4 linked regions of the Macaca mulatta genome follow. The protein of the gene in region 4 interacts with the protein of the main gene of each other region in a pairwise test. Links are inferred from orthologs where the notes say so. Each region holds a gene or a part of one and is shown on either strand. Other genes may lie near its edges.

Evidence for each region. The genes of interacting proteins can lie anywhere in the genome.
Region 1: the proteins of TFCP2 (region 4) and CA1 interact in binary tests that used the Homo sapiens proteins (3 or more experiments, as listed by UniProt). The two-hybrid records come from large-scale screens. The link is inferred for Macaca mulatta from reciprocal best matches to the Homo sapiens genes TFCP2 and CA1.
Region 2: the proteins of TFCP2 (region 4) and ZCCHC12 interact in binary tests that used the Homo sapiens proteins (3 or more experiments, as listed by UniProt). The two-hybrid records come from large-scale screens. The link is inferred for Macaca mulatta from reciprocal best matches to the Homo sapiens genes TFCP2 and ZCCHC12.
Region 3: the proteins of TFCP2 (region 4) and PHF1 interact in binary tests that used the Homo sapiens proteins (3 or more experiments, as listed by UniProt). The two-hybrid records come from large-scale screens. The link is inferred for Macaca mulatta from reciprocal best matches to the Homo sapiens genes TFCP2 and PHF1.

Annotation. Positions count from the first base shown.
Region 1 is NC_133413.1:95,947,597-95,951,810, reverse strand, and holds the start of CA1 (carbonic anhydrase 1), read left to right. Parts: upstream 1-1,397; 5' UTR 1,398-1,518; coding exon 1,519-1,555; intron 1,556-4,214. UniProt on the Homo sapiens protein: Catalyzes the reversible hydration of carbon dioxide. Can hydrate cyanamide to urea.
Region 2 is NC_133426.1:125,284,890-125,288,999, forward strand, and holds the start of ZCCHC12 (zinc finger CCHC domain-containing protein 12), read left to right. Parts: upstream 1-1,293; 5' UTR 1,294-1,479; intron 1,480-1,825; 5' UTR 1,826-1,877; intron 1,878-2,074; 5' UTR 2,075-2,198; intron 2,199-2,610; 5' UTR 2,611-2,721; coding exon 2,722-3,930; 3' UTR 3,931-4,110. UniProt on the Homo sapiens protein: Transcriptional coactivator in the bone morphogenetic protein (BMP)-signaling pathway. It positively modulates BMP signaling by interacting with SMAD1 and associating with CBP in the transcription complex.
Region 3 is NC_133409.1:148,867,599-148,871,692, reverse strand, and holds the start of PHF1 (PHD finger protein 1), read left to right. Parts: upstream 1-1,277; 5' UTR 1,278-1,491; intron 1,492-2,495; 5' UTR 2,496-2,511; coding exon 2,512-2,670; intron 2,671-2,755; coding exon 2,756-2,837; intron 2,838-2,943; coding exon 2,944-3,039; exon of another isoform or gene 3,040-3,365; coding exon of another isoform or gene 3,366-3,369; intron 3,370-3,449; coding exon 3,450-3,550; intron 3,551-3,663; coding exon 3,664-3,812; intron 3,813-3,989; coding exon 3,990-4,085; intron 4,086-4,094. UniProt on the Homo sapiens protein: Polycomb group (PcG) that specifically binds histone H3 trimethylated at 'Lys-36' (H3K36me3) and recruits the PRC2 complex. Involved in DNA damage response and is recruited at double-strand breaks (DSBs).
Region 4 is NC_133416.1:58,370,928-58,374,974, reverse strand, and holds the start of TFCP2 (alpha-globin transcription factor CP2), read left to right. Parts: upstream 1-1,245; 5' UTR 1,246-1,946; coding exon 1,947-2,068; exon of another isoform or gene 2,069-2,692; intron 2,693-2,959; exon of another isoform or gene 2,960-4,047.

The sequences.
Region 1 (4,214 bases), on a different chromosome or scaffold from region 4:
CCCATCTCAGCCGAAAACACAGATTTTAATGCCCAATTTTGTTATAATAAGAATTAAATAAGTTGATGCACATAAAGTTTTTAGCACAGCAGTTGATCCCTATTGGGCCTTCAATAAACAGTACTTTGAAAAAAAAACAATTCCCTTTTAAACAATATCTTCTTATGCTTACTGAAGCCATAGAATGGGAGCTTGCGTCTCTTCCCACTCTGTGGATGTTCATGACCACATCCCACTCTGCCTATAAGACAATGCACCATCATTAACTGCAAAGGAGCAAACAACGTGTCTCCAGTCAGCCTTGGTGAAAATTGCCCTGATCCTTCTCTTCTTTTAAGGGTTGCAGCAGCTCCTTACAGTGTGAAACGAGGAATGACTATCATGGCATGAAAAAAGCATCACTATGGAAGCTTATTTTTCTGGTTGTCTTCTCTTTAAGCATGTTTAGAGCTTTGAATATGTAGAACTGGTCAGAGTCTGGCACATTCTAATCAGTTTTCTTTGCCTTCCTGAAAAGTCCTGTGTAGCTTCTCATCATTGAGTGGGCATCAGTTTTCATCTTGGTCCAGGCTTAACTTGGACTTAAGAGTATTGTGAGCATAGGAGGGGAATTAATTGTGGCATTTGGTGAAGGTAAGTGAAGAAGGCAACTGGATTAGGAGGCTGAAGTCTTGGCTTCTTGGCTTGTTGCAAGTTATGGCAAAGTACCTCAACATCTCTCAATTACAAAATGCTAATTCTTACTATATGGGATTTGTATGTATGTGTGATGGTGAAATAAAATAATAAGAAAGGGGTTTATAAATTATATAGAACTATTAAAAAGGAAGACTTTCATTCTAGTAGACCTATTTGATGTATCAAATAAATATTGGGCCATATTTAACTTTAATATTAATAAAATCTTCTCCATTTATGAATTCCAATATTGCTCCAAAAAGGACTTTATTCTTACCCTGTACATCTGTAAAATGTACCATTATAAATAGCATATATTACAAATGATTAGTAATTTAATTATCTGATTTTAAATTAACATTATGATACTAGTTCAGACCAGCCTGTAAACACACAAATTATTCTCCTGATAAATTACTTTTGCTTATATTGCTTAAGTAACTAACAAAGGTAGAGTTGGAAATCTTAAGTGTACAAAATATTTTCCATTTAGAAAATCTAAAGAATTATATGTGATAATATTAAGCCATATCTTCTACTAACATGAGTGAAACAGGACTTGGCTTTATAAAATCTAGGATTTGATCATTCTCTTTTACAATATAAGAAAATAAAGCAATTGAAACTAACATAGCCCTTGTAGAATTTTTTACAACACTTTTTTTAGATATGTGTACTTCCTGATAAGCAGAGATGATGAAATAATGGCCTATTAAGGGCAAACAAGTTTCTATAAAAATGCCCAAGCAGGGATTTAAGGCATCTCCTGCACGCACAGTTGCAGTTAGTTATTCCAGGTATTATTTTTGTTTTCAGGAAAAGAAAACTCAGTAGAAGACAATGGCAAGTCCAGACTGGGGATATGATGACAAAAATGGTAAGAGTTCTCCTGTTTATATAGATCAAAATGATAGCTTCTTCCCATTTCCAACAGAAGAGATATTAAGCATTTAAAATAACGGTACAGCCATAGGTTAATTGTTGAACTGGCTGCTTTAAATAATTATACTATCTTTGCATGTATTCTTAGCATTGTCTTTCGGGGCATGACTGACTACAAAATATGTTTGATATATGTACAGACATACCTCAGAGATACTGCAGGTTCAGGTTCAGACCCCTATCATTAAGCAAATATCACAAGAAAGCAAGTCATATAAAATTTGGAGTTTTCCAGGGCATTTAAAAGTTATGTTTACACTATGCTGTTGTCTATTATGTGCAATAGCATTATGTCCAAAAAATATACCTACCTTAATTAAAAATACTTTATTGCTACAATATGCTAGTGATCATCTGAACTTTCAGAAGTACTAATTTTTTTTTTCTTTAAGTCAGAGTCTCACTCTGTTGCCCAGGCTAGAGTGCAATGGCACGATCTAGGCTCACTGCAACCTCTGCCTCCCAGGTTCAAGTGATTCTCCCGCCTCAGCCTCCTGAGTAGCTGAGACTACAGGTGCCCACCACCACACCTAGCTAATTTTTTTGTATTTTTAGTAGAGATGGGGTTCCACCATGTTAGCCAGGATGGTCTCGATCCCGGGACCTCATAATCCACCCTCCTTGGCCTCCCAAAGTGCTGGGATTACAAGTGTGAGCCACCACGCCTAGCCAAGTATTAATCTTTTTGATGGAGAGGGTCTTGCCTCAATGTGGATGACTGCTGACTGATCAGGTGGTGGTTGCTGAAGGTTGGGAAAGCTCAAAGTTATCCATGACTTTGGAATCAACTTCTTCCAAACTCCTGTTAATGTTGATAACTTGACCTTCTCCCATGAATTATGAATGTCCATGCAGAATGGTGAATCCTTTCTAGACAACTTCAATTTCCTTTACTCAGATCCATCATAAAAAAATTATTATCTATGGGAACTACAGGCTTACAAAATGTATTCTTAAATAAGATTTGAAAGTTGAAATTTTTCCTTGATCCATAGACTGCAGAATAGATGCTGTGTTAGTAGGCATGAACATAACATCAATCTCCTTGTACATCTCCATCAGAGCTCCTGGGTGACCAGGTGCATTGCCAATGAGCAGTGATATTTTGAAAGGAATCTTCTTTTACAGAGGAGTAGAGCTCAACAGTGGGCTTCAAAATATTCAGTAAACCAGGCTGTAAACAGATGTGCTGTCATTCAGGCTTTGTTGTTCCTTTTAGAGAACACAGGCAGAGTAGATTGAGCATAATTCTTAACGGTCCTAGGATTTTCAGAATACTAAATGAGTGTTGGCTTCAACTTAAAGTCAACAACTGCATTTGACAAAAGAGTCAGGCTATTTTTTAAAACTTTGAAACCATGCATTGACTTCTCCTCTCTAGCTATGAAAGTCTTAGATGTTATCTTCTTCCAATAGAAGGCTGTTTTGTCTACTCTGAAAATCTGTTCTTGAGTGTAGTCACTTTCATTGGTTATCTTAGCTAGATCTTCTGCATAACTGTCTGCAGCTTCTGTATCAGCACTTGCCACTTCACCTCGCACTTTCATGTTATGGAGATGGCATCTTTCTTTAAATCTCATAAACCAACCTCCACTAGCTTCTAACTTTTCTTCTGCAGCTTTTTTGCCTTTCTCAGCCTTCACAGAATTAAAGAGAGCTGTAAGCTTGTGTAATTAGGATTTGGCTTAAGGGAATGTGGTTGTTGGTTTGATCTTCTATCCAGACTACTCAAACTTTCTCCATATCAGCAATAATGCTTCTTTGCTTTCTTATCATTTGTGTGTGCACTGGTGTAGCATGTTTAATTTTCTCTAGGAACTTTTCTTTTGCATTCACAACTTGGCTAACTGGTACAAAAAGTCTACCTTTTGGCCGGTCTCAACTCTTGACATGCCTTCCTCACTGGGCTTAATCATTTCTAGCTTTTGATTCAAAGTGAGAAACATGTGACTCTTCCTCTTACTGGAATACTTACAGGTCATTGTAGGGTTATTAATCAGATTAATTTCAATATTGTTGTCTCAGGGAATAGGAAGACTTATAGAGAGGGAGAGAGATGGGGAACAGCCAGTCAATAAAGTAGTTAAAACACACACAACATTTACAGGCTAAGTTCATCATCTTTTTTTTTTTTTTTTTTTTTTTTTTTTTTTGAGACGGAGTCTTGCTCTGTCGCCCAGGCTGGGGTGCAGTGGCCGGATCTCAGCTCACTGCAAGCTCCACCTCCCGGGTTTACGCCATTCTCCTGCCTCAGCCTCCTGAGTAGCTGGGACTACAGGCGCCCGCCACCTCGCCCGGCTAGTTTTTTGTATTTTTTAGTAGAGATGGGGTTTCACCATGTTAGCCAGGATGGTCTCGATCTCCTGACCTCGTGATCCACCCGTCTCGGCCTCCCAAAGTGCTGGGATTACAGGCTTGAGCCACCGCGCCCGGCCTAAGTTCATCATCTTACTTGGACATGGTTTATGGTGCCACAACACTATTACAATAGTAACATCAAAGATCACAATGATAGATATATGAACAATTTAAAAGTTTAAAATATTGTGAGAATGACCAAAATGTGACACAGAGACGTGAAGTAAACACATGCT
Region 2 (4,110 bases), on a different chromosome or scaffold from region 4:
TTCATGTCCTTTGTAAGGACATGGATGCAGCTGGGAACCATCATTCTCAGCAAGCTATGGCAAGAACAGAAAACCAAATACCGCATGTTCTCACTCACAGGTGGGAATTGAACAATGAGATCACTTGGACACAGGAAGGGGATCATCACACACCGGGTCCTATTGTTGGGGGGGGCGGGATAGCATTAGGAGATATACCTAATGTAAATGACGAGTTCATGGGTGCAGCACACCAACATGGTACATGTATACATATGTAACAAACCTGCACGTTGTGCACATGTACCTTAGAACTTAAAGTATAATAATAATAATAATAAAATACTAAATATAAAACCACACCCCGACCCCTAGTCCTAGTAAATCTGAATTCACCAGAATTGGGGCCCAGAGCCTACATTTCTTTTTTTTCTTTCTTTTTTCTGAGACGGAGTCTTGCTCCGTCGCCAGGCTGGAGTGCAGAGGTGCGATCTTGGTTCACTGCAACTTCAGCCTCCCAGGTTGGAGCGATTCTCTAGCCTCAGCCTCGCGAGTAGCTGGGATTACAGGCACGCACCACATGCCCAGCTGATATATATATATATATCTTTTGTATTTTTAGTAGAGACGGGGTTTCACCATGTTGGCCAGGATGGTCTCTATCTCTTGACCTCGTGATCCGTCCGCCTCGGCCTCCCAAAGTGCTGGGATTACAGGTGTGAGCCACCACGCCGGGCCAGAAGACGCATTTCTAACAAGCTCCCCCAAATGACTCTGATGTCTTGCACCCATACTTGAATGGGTATTGGTTGAGAGCCTTGTTCTCCAGCTCTCCGCTCTGTTAAATGGACATACTGATACTTCCTTCACAATAAAAGAGGAGATGTCTGTGAAAGCCTGTTTCCGCAATGCACGTGCTAATGCTCTTCCCGCCCCTTCCCCTCTTCCCCCTCTTTCTCCTATACCAAGGTGAAGAGCTTTTATTATTCACTTGATTTTGGACCCAGTTCGTGTTTAATGCACCTGGCCTAAGATGTAGCGTTGAGCCCAGGGAGAAGGGAAGGGTTGGGGGAGGAAGAAAGAGTCGCAAATTCCCGGGTAACAGGCAGATTGGCTCCATAGGTCTAATCAAGCTGCACTTGACGCTCCGCGGGCCTGCTGCGCCCCTGCCCCCTCGGGCGAAAACTCGCCTCTGCCCAAGGCTGTGCCGGGCGTCCGCCCCCGCACTTCGCTGATTGGCCGCACTGGCCCGCTCGTCACGCTCTTTTGTCTCAGCTGGCCCAGGATAAAAGCCGCCGCGGCTGCCTTGGGAACCGCGCTGTCTCGTCTCGGCTACCCCTGGTTGGGCGGCCGTGCGAAGCAGCTCCTTCGGGCAGCCCCTGGTCGCTTAGCGGCCAAGGAGGCTTCAATTCTTTGCCCCCCTGCAGGGCGGAGGAGACCAGAAGGCGGAATCTACAGCTGGCGACGCGGGAGCATCAGCTGCCCACCAGCGGAGCACAGGTAAAGAAGGGGGGTGCGATTGCCCGGCGGGGAGAGGGGTGGGGGAAGACCCACCAGTACTGGGCGGCGCCCCGCTTGGAGAATCGGTGACTGCGAGGCAGGGGTAGGAGTACTCTCTTGGCCCGGCTGCGCTGAGGGAGGAGGTGGGGTTCACCTGGATACTGCGGACTGGGTAAGATTTGCCTGGATTTGGGGGGGGGGCAGAGGCGAGGGGTAGCGGTGGGGCGGGGGGGTGGGTAGGAATCTCAAGCTGTTTGCTTCGAACCTCCTTTGCATCTACTCATCTCTTTCTGGGAGGAATATGTGGGTGGGTGTGTCCAACTCCTATTCCCTTTCTCCGTGGCAGGCCATCAAAGCCGCATCTGAACTTCAATTCTGTGCAGCTGATTGCAGAGCTGGTAGGCCGACGGCTTCCTGGGGGAGATGTAATGCTGGGGGTGGGGGGCTGGTGTCTGGCTTATAGTCAGGAGGGGGCAGAGAGAATTTTTCGCCTGGCAACAGCGGAGGTTGTGGGTAGCAGGATGATGGGTGAAGCTGCTACTAACCCTTCCCTTCTCTGGCCTTCTCCGCTGTGGCGCAATCTTGAAACCTCGAGGACCCGGATCTGCGACCCCCTGTGGACAGAGGTTGACCGTACCCGGAGAGGAGCTTTCCCACGGAGGGCACTGGTTGCAGAGGCTGGAAATGAAATAAAGGCGCGCTCTTGTTTCAGAGTTCGTGTAAGAATCTGAGAAATAAAGAGGGAGACGGGGGTGGGGGGCACTTTGAGAAGGGGGTGTGGTTGAGACCAGAGACCATGAGGTTAATGAGATTTTATTTCCACAAATCTGCGATCATTGTACTCTATTTGGAGAGCCCAATATCAGCTCCAGACACTGCTACACCTAGAATTTGAAGCAACAGTTGCCCTCCCTGTTGGAGGACTGGTGGGAGGGATGGATGTGGCTGCAAAAAGCACCTTGCTAGCACGCAGCCATCGGGTAGCTCTGGGAGGTTGTAAGTGCCAGTCTCCTACAGGATTATTTTTAGGGTAGTGGGCAAATATAAAATGTACTGCAGGATATTCAGGTAGGGAGAGAATGCAGCTGCAGCCTGCTCCCTTATTAACCAGCTCCCCTTTCTTTTTTACAGCCCCTGCTGAGATAGGAACGCAGAGCCACCCCCTCTCCTCTCCCGCCTGCAGATTAAGCTTCTCTAAAAAGTCTAGGCATCTTATATTCAGATACCCTATCGTCGTCAGTCATGGCTAGCATCATTGCACGTGTCGGTAACAGCCGGCGGCAGAACGCACCCTTGCCGCCTTGGGCCCATTCCATGCTGAGGTCCCTGGGGAGAAGTCTCGGTCCTATAATGGCCAGCATGGCAGACAGAAACATGAAGTTGTTCTCGGGGAGGGTGGTGCCAGCCCAGGGGGAAGAAACCTTTGAAAACTGGCTGACCCAAGTCAATGGGGTCCTGCCAGATTGGAGTATGTCTGAGGAGGAAAAGCTCAAGCGCTTGATGAAAACCCTTAGGGGCCCTGCCCGCGAGGTCATGCGTGTGCTTCAGGCGACCAACCCTAACCTAAGTGTGGCAGATTTCTTGCGAGCCATGAAATTGGTGTTTGGGGAGTCTGAAAGCAGTGTGACTGCCCATGGTAAATTTTTTAACACCTTACAAGCTCAAGGGGAGAAAACCTCCCTTTACGTGATCCGTTTAGAGGTGCAGCTCCAGAACGCTATTCAGGCAGGCATCATAGCTGAGAAAGATGCAAACCGGACTCGCTTGCAGCAGCTCCTTTTAGGCGGTGAGCTGAGTAGGGACCTCCGACTCAGACTTAAGGATTTTCTCAGGATGTATGCAAATGAGCAGGAGCGGCTTCCCGATTTTCTGGAGTTAATCAGAATGGTAAGGGAGGAAGAGGATTGGGATGATGCTTTTATTAAACGGAAGCGGCCAAAAAGGTCTGAGTCAATGGTGGAGAGGGCAGTCAGCCCTGTGGCGTTTCAGGGCTCCCCACCGATAGTGATCGGCAGTGCTGACTGCAATGTAATAGAGATAGATGATACCCTCGACGACTCCGATGAGGATGTGATCCTGGTGGAGTCTCAGGACCCTCCACTTCCATCCTGGGGTGCCCCTCCCCTCAGAGACAGGGCCAGACTTCAGGATGAAGTGCTGGTCATTGATTCCCCCCACAATTCTAGGGCTCAGTTTCCTTCCACCAGTGGTGGTTCTGGCTATAAGAATAATGGTCCCGGGGAGATGCGTAGAGCCAGGAAGCGAAAACACGCAATCCGCTGTTCCTATTGTGGTGACGAGGGTCACTCAAAAGAAGCCTGTGACAACGAGAGTGACAAGGTCCAGGTTTTTGAGAATTTGATCATCACCCTGCAGGAGCTGACCCATACCGAGATGGAGAGGTCAAGAGGGGCCCTTGGCGAATACATTGACTTCTCTGAGCCACTCTAAGGAACCAGCTCCCAGATTTCAGTGAACCCTTACCTATATTCAGCATCCAGTAGTGGGAAAACTGGGTTGGGGTGGGGGCGGGGCTTCTAACTGCATGAATTAATCCACAAAGTGGCTATCTTTTGGGGTGGAGGAGAAAGGGTCTTGGATACCAGCACATTGGAGGGAGATAGCCTGACC
Region 3 (4,094 bases), on a different chromosome or scaffold from region 4:
GTGTGTCTGTATCTGTATGTGTATGTATTGGGTGAGGAGTGGGAGGGTTGCTGGCTGGTGCTTTATTGGGTAGAGGGCACCATGTCCCAGGGCTATCAAATAAAGAATAGTTGTTTTTTTTTTTTTAAATAAAGGTTTATCTGCCCAAGAAGGCAGATATTTTCATATCTGTAAAGGTGGGAGCTGTGATCTGTCCCCTCTGCCAAACGTTTGTGTGGGAGGCGGGAGCGGGGGCTGAGGGCTTGGGCTTTTCCCCTCCTTAGCTCACCGGTTCTGGACCATGGTCTGGATCATTTTCCCCTCTGCTAATACCCCCTCCCCCGTCCCTCACATCAGGGAGGCGTGCCCTCTAGCTATCCACGCCCTCTCCTTGGTCACTAGTTATCTAGATAAGTTTCACCCTTCCGCCGGCCACCCCAGCCCCAGGGAGCAACGTTCCTTTGGTGGGTGTCGGCAAATGGGGACCGGACCCCGGAGTCCAGAGGCGGGGCTAGCGCGCGCTCCCAAACTGCTGGCTCTTTCCTCCCGCCCTTTCCCTGCCTTTCCGTTCGAACGGCTGGGGCTCTGCCCGCTCGCTGCCCATTGGCTGGCTCTCGGTGGCGTCACCGCCTCGGGTCCTTGCCCCCTTCGTCTTTGCGCCAGCCCTGGAAGCACGGGGCGGGACGTACCCGGGAAGCGGCGCGCACGCCCGCCGACTCCCTCTCGCCAACCGCCGACGGCCGCCGCCCCGTGAAGGAGGAGCTCAGTCCTCCCAGGTGCCGCGCGCAGGAGGGGACACGCGTGCGCAAAAGGGCGGCGGGTGGGGCGCGACTCGCCACGGGGAGGGCGGGGCTGGGGCTAACGGCGAGTGGAGGGCGGGGCGCGCGAGGGAGGAGGGCGTGGTGGGGGCATCGAGAAGGGTGAATGGAGGGCGGGGCCGTGAACTGGGGCCGGGGGGCGGGACTTGGAGTGACCATGGGGGGTGGGGCAGTTAACGGATGTGGCATGGGGCGGGGGACCAGTCCGGAGGCGCGCTGCCGGGAGGGGGGATTCCCTCGTGCCCCAAGGGCGAGTCTCAGGTCGGAGGAAGGGGCTGAGGGGATTCCCTCTCCCACCGGGTCCGACTCTTTGCTTCCCAAGCCGTGGAGGGCCTGCCTCTTCCTCGGCACCCTCCAGGCCTGTCGGAGGTGAGGGAGGTGGGGTGAGGTGGTGCCCGCCCCCCCCTCCGGCTCCTCCTTCCCCCCAGTCCTCCCCTCCCACCACCCTCCCCCCCAACCGGTCCGTCCCTCCCCTCCCTCCCCCCCGCCGCCTCCTCCTCCTGCCGCTGCTGCTGCTTTGGCTGCTGCGTCATACGCCCCAGAGCCGCCGGGACGGAGGGGCTGGGCCTGGGGACCCCCCGGCCTCCGCCTGCACAACCCCCCCACGCCCGGACGTGCCCTCTCCGCGCGGGGGACTCGCCTAGGTCTCCTACGTCTGCCCCTGCCCGGCTCCTGGCGGCCCCAGCTGTCACCGGTAAGGAGGCGGCAGGAGGCGCCGGTGGGGGGCAGGGAGCCGGGGGTCGGCGCGGGGCGCGGGCGGGAGAGCCTCGCCGCCTTGGCCTCGGGTCCGAGCTGGGCCGACTCAAGTCCCTTCTCGGACTTGCGGTCCTGGGGAGTGGAGACCAGGACTGGGACACGCCCCCCTCCCGGGGCACTCGGAGAAGTTGTCTAACCCGGGGGCAGGGAGCCCCGAATTTGAGGGTGACCTGACATAACCTGGCACCAGGATGATTGTTCTTAATGAGACACGCAGGCCTGGGGAGACAGCCGTTTCTGCTCTGGAAAACATCTCCAGAAAAGGTCCCAAAACACATCTCTGGGCAACAGGACACCCTAATTATGATACCTCTAAACTGAGTGGTAGCCTTTGCTTCTACAACCGTAATTTCTCCTAAAATTTCAAGGCCAGGATATAATATCCCAGGAGAGCTCTGGAAGCTGGGAAACTAGCAACTAGGTTTGGGGTTGGGGGGAGGGCAGTTACCGTGAGGAGAGCCAGTCACTAGAGTTGAAAGAGGACTCAAGAAGCTGGTGATGGGTGCCTGGTGGTTTCCTATCCAGGTGTCTCAGGGATTTGGAGATGGGGGCACAGATCCTTCATTCTTGACGGCAAAATAGGCAAAGAAAATGGGGAAGTTGGCCGGGCGCGGTGGCTCACGCCTGTAATCCCAACACTTTGGGAAGCTGAGGTGGGTGGATCATGAGGTCAGGAGTTCGAGACCAGTTTGGCCAACATGGCCAACACCCCCTCTCTACTAAAAATACAAAAAATAGCCAGGCGTGGTGGTGGGTAGACCTTTAATCCCACCTACTTGGGAGGCTGAGGCAGGAGAATTGCCTGAACCCAGGAGGTGATGGTTGCAGTGAGCCAAGATTGTCCAGCCTGGGCGACAGAGCAAAACTCCATCTCAGAAAAAAAAAATGGGGAAGCTTTCTGAGCATTCATAACCTTCTCCTCCCCATTTCTTTTCTGGCTAGGCCCCCCCAGGATGCAATGGCGCAGCCCCCCCGGCTGAGCCGCTCTGGTACCTCCTCACTTTGGGACCCAGCTTCTCCTGCTCCCACCTCTGGCCCCAGGCCTCGACTTTGGGAGGGTCAAGATGTGCTGGCCAGATGGACTGATGGGCTGCTATACTTGGGTACCATCAAAAAGGTAAGACCTTCTACCTCTGATCTTTTTCCTATTTCCCTTATCTAATTCTGGTTCCCATTTCATTCTCTTTGCTCACCCATTCCAGGTGGACAGTGCTAGAGAGGTGTGTCTGGTCCAGTTTGAGGATGATTCGCAGTTTCTGGTTCTATGGAAAGACATTAGCCCTGGTAAGACTAGAGACCTGAGATTGCACATCCCATGGAAAACAAACCTGGCTTAGAGGGGCAGAAAGAGACTTAAGGGCAGGCCCCGTGACACTGTGTTCTCTCACAGCTGCCCTCCCTGGGGAGGAACTCCTCTGTTGTGTCTGTCGCTCTGAGACTGTGGTCCCTGGGAACCGGCTGGTCAGCTGTGAGAAGTGTCGCCATGGTGAGAGGGCAGGTCACCTGAATGGTCTAGCTTGCTCTTCCCTCCAGGATGGTCCTTATGTCACCTGTCGTGGCCTTAGTCCCCAAGCCACTGCTCTGGCCAGGCTGCTTAGCCCTATCTTAGTCCTCATCCCCTTTCAGCCCAGGGAGAAGCAGCCATGGAAAGGGGTGGTGTAACCTTTGCAAGCAGAGGATGATTTAACTGCATCCTTTTCTAACCATATGACCTTGGACAAGTCCCTTAACCTCTAGGAGCCTCAGTTCCCTGACTCGTAAAATAAGGATCATGTACCCTCTCATCAAGAACATGGTCAAGGATTAAATGAGATGGGTAAAGACTATTCCTGTCCCAATACCAAGCACACACAGGTATGCAATAAGTGGTCTACTATTAACATTATCACTCTTCAGCTTATCACCAGGACTGCCATGTTCCCAGGGCCCCAGCCCCTGGAGAGGGAGAGGGCACATCCTGGGTATGCCGCCAGTGTGTCTTTGCGATCGCCACCAAGGTAAAGGCACTTCCCTGTTACCCCTTCCTGTGAGAGCCTCCCATCCACATCCTCTCCCAAGCCTTTTCCTCTCCCCACCCCTCTGAAGTCATCCACCTGTCCTGTCTCTGCAGAGGGGAGGTGCCCTGAAGAAGGGCCCCTATGCCCGGGCCATGCTGGGTATGAAGCTCTCTCTGCCATATGGACTGAAGGGGCTGGACTGGGATGCTGGACATCTGAGCAACCGACAGCAGAGTTACTGTTACTGTGGTGGCCCTGGGGAGTGAGTAATGAGGGGGAGCAGACTGTGGAATGAATGATGTGGTGGTGCCTCCCAGGAAATGAAGGAAAAAGAACAGGATGAGGGTAGCACTCAGGGGGATGGGAGGTAAGTTTAGGGTTTGGGGCAGTTATGGGGAAGGGGGTTTCTGGAGGCCAGAAGTCCTATGTTCCCCCTCAGGTGGAACCTGAAAATGCTGCAGTGCCGGAGCTGCCTGCAGTGGTTCCATGAGGCCTGCACCCAGTGTCTGAGCAAGCCCCTCCTCTATGGGGACAGGTGAGACCA
Region 4 (4,047 bases):
GACAAAGGAGGAAGCTAAATCTCAGTGAGATTAAGCAATTATTCTGAAGACACCAAACTAATAAGTGAAGACGCCAGCCTAAACTCTGATTTTCAGATCTTTTTAAATTCCAACACCCCATACCAGCACAACCACCTTTTAAAAACCACAATTTTTTTTTTTTTTTTTTTTTTTTTGAGACGGAGTCTCGCTCTGTCACCCAGGCTGGAGTGCAGTGGTGCCATCTCGGCTCACCGCAAGCTCCACCTCCCGGGTTCACGCCATTCTCCCACCTCAGCCTCCCGAGTAGCTGGGACGACAGGCGCCCGTCACCATGCCTGGCTAATTTTTTGTATTTTTAGTAGAGACGGGGTTTCACCGTATTAGCCAGGATGCTCTCCATCTCCTGACCTCGTGATCCGCCTGTCTCGGCCTCCTAAAGTGCTGGGATTACAGGAGTGAGCCACCGCGCCCAGCTTTTCTTTTCTTTTTTTCTTTTTTTTCTTTTTTTTTTGAGATGGAGTTTCACTCTTGTTGCCCAGGCTGGAGTGCAATGGCCCGATCTCGGCTCACCGTAACCTCCGTCTCCTGGGTTCAAGTGATTCTCCTGCCTCAGCCTCCTGAGTAGCTGGGATTACAGGCTCGCGCCTGCACACCCGGCCAATTTTTGTATTTTTAGTAGAGACGGGGTTTCTCCATGTTGGTCAGGCTGGTCTTGAACTCCCGACCTCAGGTGATCCGCCCACCTCGGCCTCCCAAAGTGCTGGAATTACAGGCGTGAGCCACCTCGCCCGGCCTAAAAACCACATTTTTACTGATCTCATGCTTTTCTGTTCAATTGCATTAGAGAGGACGCCTAAGATAAAATGAATATAGAGGGAAGTGGGATTTATGCAGGGTCTCGACCTCGGAAGAGGTGAGTTTAAGGAGACAGGAGGATGAGCAGGAGCAAGCGCGCGCACGTAAGGAGCGTTTGGGAAGTAGTCAAGAGTCCGCCAGGGGTGGAGTGGGTTCATAAGGCTAGAAGGAGGGCTCCTTCCACGGTTCAGGGTGATGACTTGAAGGGTAGCGGATACCAGAGCTCTGGTAACTACACGGACAGACGTTTAAACCCGGACACTTGCACGCCGGGTCCTCTCCGTGATCGCCCAGCCCATCTCGGGGGCAGAGCCGAGGCGCAGCCCGCCTATCATCGCTGCCGAGACTGACGAGGTCTCTTCTTTATAGGCGAGCGACAGCGTGACGTCATGTTCGCCGGGCAGGCGAAGAAAGAGGACGCCATGATTGGTTGGCGCTGGGGCGGCGGGCGGTGGAAGGGCCTGGGGAGTCCAGGTTTCACGCCTGTGCTGGACTTTCTCCTTCCATGTTTCCAGGCCGTGGGGGGCTACAGAGAGCAAGGAGTCGGCTCAGCGGAAACCTGGATTTGGTTTTAGGCCGTGGGGTTCAGAGGGGGTGACCGGAAGTGATCGTGGGACTGACCGGAAGCGAGGCCTGGAGGGGAAAGAGAGAGCGAGCCCTGGGAGGGAGGGGGCCTCCAGCAGAAAGGGGCGGGGGAAAAGGTGCAAAAGCAGCGTGGGAGCGCCGGGCTAGCTTCCTGCGGCTGCTGCTGGTCTGTCTGGGAAGCAGCAAGCCACCACTACGAACTCTCAAGAGGGTATCTTAAGGAGTGGGAGTGCGGGAGTCCAGAGCTGCTTCTGGGAAGTCTGCAGTAGTTGAGCAAAGGGGTCCTCACGTTCCTGAGACCTGAGCAGGGGGGATTTTGGAACCTGGGGCAACCAAGAACTAGCAGCCAAGGATACGGGAGATTAGTTATACGAGCAGTGCTGGTCGGGCTTGGGGGTGGCTGGTGGGCACTCCGTGGGAAACCTTGGTTTGTAGTTTTCTACTGTGTTACTCCTGTTGGGTAGAATTACCCTCCGCGCCTTTGTACAAGACACAGTGTCTCCTGGGGCAAGGAAGGAGCCAGGATGGCCTGGGCTCTGAAGCTGCCTCTGGCCGACGAAGTGATTGAATCCGGGTTGGTGCAGGACTTTGATGCTAGCCTGTCCGGGATCGGCCAGGAACTGGGTGCTGGTGCCTATAGCATGAGGTGAGTGAGATTTTCCCAGACCCTACACCTGAATAACAAAGGCGGATAGAGACTAAGAAAAGTGGTTGAGTGGGAAGGAGGTGTATAGAGTTTTAAAAAACTGTCTACGATTGTGGAAAGGGGACTTGTTCCTTTGTCGCTTTGAGTAGTGTTGTGGAAGAAATGGAAAAAGCGATTGTAGGCTATATGAAGCCTGCGCAGGATCAGTGGAAGAAGGAAGAGTGGTCCCTGATTAGCAACCAGATGAATGTTGAGAGGCTTTTGTGCCCATGTGCATTGGAGACTTGGGGACTGATGGTGTATGTGGGGGTAAGTCTGACGTTATGTGAAGAAGGGGTTACATACAGCATAGGAAGGCTATCTAGGAAGTTGGGAAATTGGGAGCTGGTGCTTAATGATGAATATTCGTTCGTTTCTTGTTGGAAAGATATGGAAGTCCTTGATGAAGAAGTCCGTGCAGTTATATCTTATCACTAGCTTGCTTTAAGACTTTACTTAATTCTGGGATTTCTGACTTTTAAAACATAAGCTGTGAAATGAAAAAGTGACGAAGAAAACTTACGATGCTTCTGGATCTTTACGTATCAAGCCAATTGTTGATAACAGATGATATATCTCCTTTCGGCCGGGTTCGGTGGCTCACGCCTGTAATCCTAGCACTTTGGGAGGCTGAGACGGGTGGATCACTTCGGCCTAAGAGTTCGAGACCATCGTGGCCAATGTGGTGAAACCCTGTCTATACTAAAAATACAAAAATTAGCCGGGTGTGGTGCTGCGGGCCTGTAATCCTAGCCACTCGGGAGGCTGAGGCAGGAGAATCACTTGAACCCGGGAGGCGGAGGTTGCAGTGAGCAGAGATGGTGCCATTGCACTCCAGCCTGGGCAACAAAGTGAGACTCCATTTGAAAAACAAAACAAAAACTCCTTTGAAAGCAACATTACTGCCTATATAACTTTCTGCATGCATTGGCTAGTTTATTCCTCCAATATAGTTTATTTCATTTATAGATGTGCAAGAATCCTGTATGGAAGTGTTGCAACAGCTGCGTCTTAGGGGTAGATGGACTATAATTGGGTTTCCTAATGCATTATAAGACTTTAAGTAAGTGAGTCGAGAGACTAGAACTTAACATTTTCATTGGGTTTATAAAAGTTCATAGGGGAAAGATGCTTTTTAGGGGGAAAGTAGATGCATTTTTCATTCTGATAATGAGATCTTTTAAGAGTTATGTAAAGTTCCTTTATTCCTGCTAATTCAAAGTGGACTTTCCTCACTGAAGTAAAATTATGAGTTAGAATTTACCACTTCAGGCCGGGCATGGTGGCTCACACCTGTAATCCCAGCACTTTGAGAGGCTGAGGTGGGCAGATCACAAGGTCAGGAGTTTGAGACCTGGCCAACATGGTGAAACCCCGTCTCTACTAAAAATACAAAAAATTAGCCGGGTGTGGTGATGCACGCCTGTAATCCCAGCTACTTGGGAGGCTGAGGCAGGAGAATCACTTGAACCGGGAGGCGGAGGTTGCTGTGAGCAGAGATCACACCATTGCACTCCAGCTTGGACAACAAGAGCAAAACTCTGTCTCAAAAAAAAAAAAAGAGAGAGAATTTAATACTTCAGCATCTTCAGGAATCTTTACTTGTAATTAGAATAATAAAGACTGTTATTCTAAATAATAATCATGCCTGTAATCCCAGCACTTTGAGGGGGTAGAGACTGGAGGATCTCTTGAAGCCAGGAGTTCAAGACCTGCTCTCCACAAATAAATCAATAGATAAATTACCCTGGCCTGGTGGCATGTTCCTGTAACCCCAGCTACTCAGGAGACTGAGGTGGAAGGATTGCTTGAGCCCAGGAATTTGAGTCTGTAGTGAGTTGTGATTGCACCACTCTACTCCAGCCTGGTGACAGAGTGAGACCTCTTAAGAAAAACAAACAAACAAACAAAATTTAAAAATTAAGAAAAATTGGAAAAAA